2 linked regions of the Tribolium castaneum genome follow. The protein of the gene in region 1 interacts with the protein of each later gene in a pairwise test. Links are inferred from orthologs where the notes say so. Each region holds a gene or a part of one and is shown in the gene's direction. Other genes may lie near its edges.

Evidence for each region.
Region 2: the proteins of Pak (region 1) and dock interact in a two-hybrid assay, tested with the Caenorhabditis elegans proteins (2 studies listed by BioGRID). The link is inferred for Tribolium castaneum from reciprocal best matches to the Caenorhabditis elegans genes pak-1 and nck-1.

Annotation. Positions count from the first base shown.
Region 1 is NC_087398.1:14,076,378-14,080,204, forward strand, and holds part of Pak (serine/threonine-protein kinase Pak), read left to right. Parts: intron 1-659; coding exon 660-861; intron 862-913; coding exon 914-1,029; intron 1,030-2,908; coding exon 2,909-3,127; intron 3,128-3,178; coding exon 3,179-3,262; 3' UTR 3,263-3,827. UniProt on the Caenorhabditis elegans protein: Required for hypodermal cell fusion, together with cdc-42 and ced-10, leading to embryonic body elongation, which involves dramatic cytoskeletal reorganization.
Region 2 is NC_087398.1:11,591,524-11,595,830, forward strand, and holds the start of dock (SH2/SH3 adapter protein dreadlocks), read left to right. Parts: upstream 1-1,261; 5' UTR 1,262-1,424; coding exon of another isoform or gene 1,425-1,443; intron 1,444-1,501; 5' UTR 1,502-1,589; coding exon 1,590-1,701; intron 1,702-1,755; coding exon 1,756-1,982; intron 1,983-4,307.

The DNA of each region.
Region 1 (3,827 bases):
ATTTTAATTATATAATTGTAAAACGTATAAATTAATGAACAGTTTAACAAACCATTGCCTAAAAAGTAAAATCAAAATGAGCTTAACGAAAAAAAAATTATCCATAATAATATAAAGTTATTATATTGTTTTTTGTAAAGTTTAAAAAAAATTAAGGCCCAATTTCTGGTAACGTATTTAATGGAGAGATTAAATTTAAACCGCAGTTAAAACAGCAACACCAATCAGATAAACATTACCGTAGCAACTATAGAAACGCCAACGTCGCATTTTACCGAATTATTTTTTTAAACAAGGTTGATAAAAATGTAAAATAGTTATTAATGATTAGATCTCTTATTGGAACTGTAAATTCATTTTAAAGAACGTTGGCATTTCTATATAGTTTTGAAACAGCTAATACATACATATGTATTATTTAACCATGATATTATAACAGGAATCCCGATAGCTTTATAAAATTTATTTTGTGTCGCATTTTTACTAGACCAGTCTTATTTGAATAACCCTGTTTTTAGTTGGCAGTTTTGAATAAATTTATAATTTTAATTATAAAATAAAAAAATAAGTTTAGTTACAGAACAAATTGAAAATAATTTTTAGGTTTTGTCTGCTTAAAATGCTTTATTTTCCTACCCATTGTTGATGTTGAATTCCAGGAACTCTGGGTTGTGATGGAATATTTACCAGGCGGTTCACTGACTGACGTAGTAACGGAGACGTGCATGGACGAGGGTCAAATCGCGGCTGTGTGTCGAGAAGTCCTTCAAGCGCTCGACTTTCTCCATTCAAACCAAGTCATCCATAGGGACATTAAATCGGACAATATTCTCCTCGGACTTGACGGCTCCGTCAAATTAAGTACGTCGCCAATCCATATCCAACCTCTCCTTTCTAACTAATTATTTTGCAGCTGATTTCGGTTTCTGTGCTCAAATAAGTCCCGAACAATCAAAAAGAACGACGATGGTGGGGACGCCTTATTGGATGGCGCCGGAAGTCGTCACGCGGAAGCAATACGGCCCTAAGGTAATTTTACAAACGGCACAAATTAAGTGCACGAGATTTTATTTAAACGTAAAATGTTTTCGTTCAGTAAAAATATTAAATGTACAGTAAATAAATTTACATTGGAAAAAATTAAACGCTAATAGTAAACGCTAGATAAAAACAAGAAACTTTAGGTGAAAAAAGTAAACCCTAAGGTGTCACTGCAGGATAACGCTTCACAAAGCTAGGCTTACAGATTTAAATGTAGCTTAAAAAAATCGAACTGCACCGTGACATTTTATTTATTAGTTAAGCTGCCAAAAGTCTACAAATATGTGAAACTGTTGCGTATTTTTCTTTTTGTTTTACTATCAAGAATAAAATAGTTCAATGAAATTGAAATTAGTGAGTACTTATTTACTTCGAGCCTTCAAAAATTGCTCCTGAATTGAGTGAAGTCAGAAAAAATGGATGTGTAAACTTTCTTGTTTAGATATTGTAATGTGGGTACCAATAAAAAGTCTAGGTATATTTAGCTTAAGCACGGAAAAATGCAAACGTAATAATTTCAATAGATGAAGTTGAAAATCGGACAAACTATAACTCAACAAATTTGAAACAGCCCGCTAATTCAAAATAATCGAAAAAAACAGTGTGATAGAAGACGCCCAAAAGTCCACACCAGTTTCAAAGTAGTATTCTAAAGTTACAACTTTAAAAAAGCAATTATTTAAATTTTGGAAAAAAAAAGAATTCGAGGTAATGATAAAAAGTCTTTCGCAATTATATACCTACAGTTGAATTTATTACCACGTAGTAGCATTTACACTATATTACTATACTACTATATTAGTTAGTGTCCATTTATTTAATATTTAGGTTTTTTTTTTGGTTGGGATTAAGGATTTGAGGACCAAAATAACGAATTTGAATACCAATTGAAAAACCAATAAATATAAATTAAAAGATGAAGTTAAATTAACTTTTTATTTTACGAGTAAGTATTTTCAAGGAAAAACATTAATATTACGAGGGGAAGTTCAAAACTAACATTAGTTACATTTTAGGTTTCATCCCGTTGTCCCTAGCTATATAAAATTTTTTAATGCCTCCTCACATTTTTGAAATGTCGGAAAGATGTTGAAAATCCTTATCTAACTTTGAAAGAAAAAAAAAATGTGTCTATTTTTGCGTTAGGGGTGATTTATATTTGAAATTTGAAATCTGAGTAATCTTTAGTTTTAGACTAATTTAATTTAAATAAAAAAACACAAGTTGCTAGCTCATCTCCGTATCGCTAGTTAACCTTACTTCAAAATGCCAAGTGGCGCATTGCTGTTGCGTATTGGATACTAAACGTTTATTATTTTTACTGGGCAAAATATTATACAGAGTGTAAAGTGATTCAAAAGTGTCGGACCAACTTTCGAATGGCGACGTATGAGGTTTAGCTAAGCATAAAAATTATATCAGATTTTTGTTTCAAGAGCAATTTTTCTGTTTTTTTTTCTCATTTGTTGCTCTTTTCTTTCCCATGTTGTTTTATTTATTTATTTTCGAAGTTGCCTATTTTGTAAATGTAGTATTCTGTATAAAATAAGTATGTTGATTTTTTTCAATAGGTATCTGCTTAATATTGCAAGGTCCGCAATTTCCTTTAACTAAATCAAGAAAATATAATTTAATAAGCTAAAAACTTAACTCACTTAACTTACTTAACTCACAATTTTTTGTCATAGGAACTTCAGTACCTTAATAGGAACTTTTAACTGAGTTAAATGTCAGCTGTCAGCTAAAAGTCTGGGACCCTGTATTATACCGATCACTTTTAGTTTTTTACTGCGCAAAAATTAATTACTGATGGCTTTATTACCCTTTTACAAACAACAGAGGTACAAACGTAAGTGGATGATTTCAGGTCGATGTGTGGTCGTTGGGCATCATGGCGATCGAAATGATCGAAGGTGAGCCGCCGTATTTGAACGAAAATCCGCTGAGGGCGCTGTATTTGATTGCAACCAACGGCAAACCCGATATTAAAGATAAGGAGAAGTTGTCGCCCTCCTTTCAAGATTTTCTAGACCAATGTTTGGCTGTGGAAGTCGACAAAAGGGCGTCGGCGCGCGATTTATTAAAAGTAAAACACCTGGAGGTAACCCTGATTTGAAGTAATTAATTCCTGTTTTAGCATCCCTTCTTAAAGTTGGCACGACCGTTGGCCAGCCTGACGCCGCTCATTTTGGCGGCGAAAGAAGCGGCAAAACAACACTAGCGATAAGTTTCAGGCTTTTGTCCTGTTCGTTATCAATTTTCTTTTGTATTATATATACGTGAGAGACTATATTCCCATGTTACTAGAAATGCATTCGATTTTTTTAAAACAATAATGTAACATAATCGTATATTTTATTATTTTAGCTTGCAGTTCTAGTTATATGGGTCGTATTTTATTAGGGACGTAAGCATTTAATAGAGGTCTGATGTTCGTATAAGTGACAGGAGACGTGTGCCTAATTTCACAACAATAACGCTGCGTAGGGATTTTTCGTTTCGTTGTCACTAGCTTCTTTTTATGCTTTTGCGCTTGATTGATCGAAAATGCGATTTTTTGTAGCTACAGGGTAGTTCCTGTTTTCGGTTTTATTCCTCTATAAATTCTATGACCAGTCTTTGTATTAAAAAAGTATCATTTTATAATCGAAATTATTTATTATTTTGTTAACGTTTTAGTTTCATCTATATTTTGTTAAGAAGAAAAACTTGTAAAGAAATACTAGGAAAAGCTATATTGTAAAACAAACGCCTGTCAAAGGTCTATATAGATGAAGAATGAGTGT
Region 2 (4,307 bases), about 2.5 Mb from region 1:
ATATTTTTTTTATGTTTAAAGTTAAATGTCTTTTGAACAATCAGCAAAAGACACTTAACTGTTAGGTAATGCTTTTAGACAGACAATTTAAAGGTCTTTTAGATGCAAAAAAATAGGTTGTTTCATTTAAAATCAATAATTTATTCAACTTTCAAAAAAACCTCTTCATTTTTTATCTTTTTGATTACAGTAAGTTAAAAAATTAAACCCCTTAAATTTTAACTTTCTTTTTTAAAATGGTAAAAGTCATACTTTTCTAGATTCTTAGTTTTTATAAAAATATTTATTTAAAGCGTTTTTTCCTCAAAGAAAAAATTTAAAAACTAAGCAAAATCGAGCTGTATTCCATGTCAATTCATAAGTTCATAGTAGAATTTTGAAAATGGAGCACAAAATTGAAAGTTTCTGGTGAGTTTTCTTAGCTCAAAACGTGTTGCTGAAAATTATAGTTTAACACAGAATTCTTTTCTTTTACAGAAACTCTCAATTTGTGCTTTATTTTTCACTTTTCACTCCAAAAAATTCAAATGCTTTATTGCAACTCTACTATAAACTGAAATGTTGTGTGTTTCACACAACTTCACGAGTCCTGCGTCTAATGTATGCACCCAAATATACAAAAATCACAAAACACTAGATACGTTCAATTATACAATTTTTGGAAACCCATGACAGTAGTTATCAAACTAACCACTGTTTCATTAATTGTCATGAATTGTTGTTTTCAGGAACAATTTTCATGTGTTTTATCAAGAGAGGAAATGAATGTGATTTTACCCTATCTAACTCAAATAACTAACTAAAAACGTTGTAATTTTTAGAAGGGGTGAACAAACTAGAGAAAACTATCCAATTTAAAAAAAATTGTAATCGAGTTCGTACTGGAATATGTATTGTTGATTGTATTTTACAGGCGCAGGCCTCGTAAAACTACATCTAACACCCTGTATAACAATTTTGCTTAAAAACATCAGTTTGATATTTTGTCCGGTGTGAAAGTGGTTTGTGTTCAGATATCTTCGGAAATTGAAGGAACTGTCTTCACACAAGTAAACTATAGCTGGTCCGCTGCAACTTTGCCGTTTTCTGTACTTTGGCACTTATTTTATTTTTATTAATGTATTTATTCTCGTTTAAAATATTTACTTTATAGTAGTTTAAATTGTGTAAGTAACAAATCATTGTAAGAAAAGAGGTAACAAAGCTAGAATTGGGGTAGAGGTGTTGTTTGTTGTTTAAATTTGGCGCGCTGCGCGTCAAGGTCAGCGTGGGGCGCGCCCCCTGTCGCCATTTTCCGCAAAAGCTCCCCTGTGCGATTGTGATGTCTTCTGAAAATACCGTGGAGGGTGGGAGCAATAATTTTCTATGTGTGAAACTGTTGCAAATGGTGCTTCAACCCGACCACTGATGTGTAATAAAGTACTATGTCCAGTTTGAAAATCGGTGAGTGTTTGTTTGAGTGTGAAAAATGAATATCTTGTTTTGGTCCCACCCCCTGTAGCATCGGCCCCCGGCATGTAATCGTCTCTCATTGTTGTAGTGGTAGAAGCATGAATGTGGGCTAGCACTAGATAGTTGTGCTTGTGGTCATGTTGGAGACCAGATCTGTTCGGGGAATGCCAGAGCCTTCTTGGCAGTCTAAGAGTAATTTCGGCGCTAAATCGACCCCCCATGCGATGGCTGCACCAAACATACGACATGGTAGTCTGCCCCTGGATTTTCAAGGGGGCCTTTTGTGATTGTGGGGTGTTTTAGGCAAAACTGGGCAAGATGACATTTGCCATGTTGTGGCCAAGTACGATTACGCCGCACAGGGCCCCCAGGAGCTCGACCTCAGGAAGAACGAGCGCTATTTGCTCCTCGACGACTCCAAGCATTGGTGGAAAGTGCAGAATTCGAGAAATCAAGCCGGTTATGTGCCAAGCAACTATGTTAAGAAAGAGAAACCGTCACTTTTTGATAGTATCAAGAAAAAGGTAACGGTATGTGTATGGGGCTTTTATGGGGCTCTTAAATTTTTACGCTTTCCCACTGTTTACGCCAATCTTTAATTAGATAGCACATCAAATTTTAACACTAATGATTCGTTTCCAAGCTCTTGAATTAAGAAAACAAACAACTGGGTCAGAAACTACCGAAAGTTTTTTAATCAAGACGGCACTTGACTTGTTCAAGGCCAGAAATTGACTTGGCTATATATTTGACGGGAAGAGACAATATTAGGCGTAAAAATAATTAAACTTTTTATGTTGGCATTATGTAAATTACCCAAGGACAAGCGAGATAAGCGTGTGTCATCTCCAGAGATTTTTTCTAAAAAGGAAGCATAATCAAGCGTAAACATGAAATTATAAAGCCTTAATTAAACATTATTACGTTTTATTTTCAACTGATTATTGTTCAGGTAGTGTTTTGTGTAAATAATATTTTTTAAAATAGTGAATAACTAATGTCCGTTCCAAATTGGTGTGCTGTATTTAAATACTAACTTCCGTTGCTGGGTAACACCTGACATAATGTCAAATTTAAGCTAAATATTTTTTAAAATAAAGTCGATTTTATTGAAAAACAAGTGGAAACGTAATTTTCTTCGACTCTGATCTTTGATAGCCTAATATTTTTTATGTTGACGACATTGTTGTTGGAAGTAATTTGCCTTAATTTCACTATTTTCCTTATGAAAAACCTTAACTTTAAGAATTAACTTAACTTTCAAAGAAATTCTAAAAAATGTTATGTTATTTTGCCTTCGATTTAGTTTGTTTTTGAACCACAAAGACTTATGTTTTTTTATGTATTTACTGTGCAAGATTTCATTAAAAACGTGCCCAAAAAATACAAAATAAGTTTAAACTGATGTAATTTTGATGATAAACCGAAAAATTACCAAATAAAATCTAAAATGGTGTTAGTTTTAAGTTTTTCAAACATGTAAATGCTTTTTTGATACGAAAAACCCCAAAAATCATTAATTAAGTAGACTATTATCATTTTTCAGGTGGTATCGCGATTAGTTATGACTGTTAGTTAATTAAAAAATTACTTTATATTTTAATTTTCGAACCTATTATTACGTCTACAATCAAAAACATAGGTGTTTCACTTAGATTAAAATTTTTAAAGTGCTTTAGAAATATTTCAATAAAATACACAAAGAATCACATAATTATGTGGCATTTTTTTCCAATACAGCCAAAAAATTTCGAAAATGACAGTTACGATGTTTCGCTTGATTTAAGTTGGTGAGTAACAATTTTTTTAGTAAAACTTATTTAATTAATAAAATTAATAATTAGTAATAAATAAAATTATGATTACTTTCAATATACTTTTCTTGAACACATGTGTTATTTTCTATAAAAACACAAAATTATGTTAATTGTTATAATAATTTTTGCTGAATTTTTGAAACTTCCTGTTCCCTTAATATTAAAATTCTCTTAAACGTTCATGAGAAAATTGACACGGATAAGTTGATTTTGTAACAGTGTTTTGTTATCGCCATCAGATATGAAAACAACTCTAGTTAACGGGACGACAAAATGTAACTGAAGTTTAACATTACTAGAAATCTGAACTTAATTTTATTGTTTATTTGTAAAGAAGTATAAGGCGTAAAATAAACTGAGTGAAGCGTTACCGTAAATCCGTTATGAATTATGAAATGAAACATCAATCTAATTGGCCCGAGGGGCCGTTAACTTGAAAAAAAAAATGTGTACTTAGAGGTAATTCTAATTATCAAAAAAAAAAATTCACGGAAATTCAGTTTCCAAAAAAATTACCGAAATCACAATAATTCATCGTCAGAATTAATTAATTAATCAATTAATTCCTGTAATTCTAATTTAAAAGTTGTAATTCCAACATAATTTCTATAATTCTAAGAAATTGAACGTACCAAAGGTAATCTGGAATAATTCCAAAAAGAATTCCGTAACTCCGAAATAAATTATATAAATTCTAAAGATAATTTTAATAATTTAAAGTACATGATTGTAAGCAATTCCAATCGTATTTTAAAAATTTGCACAACTAACTCTACACGGCTTCTCGATGTGTTTCATAAAACAAAAACAGTTTGACGTAAGATTGTCTTTTTTTTACAAATGAGCAACCAAATAATTTTAAAAGTAATAAAACACTCGACACTTCTGTGTCTTATTTGGCAATTTTTTCTACACTCAAAAAGAAAGACATCTCTATTAACAATAGTGTGGCGTACATTAATAAAAAATAGTATGAGAAATCACATAGTAAAAAATGAAACGAAAGTAATAATTCCATTTAAAAATTAACCTACACGT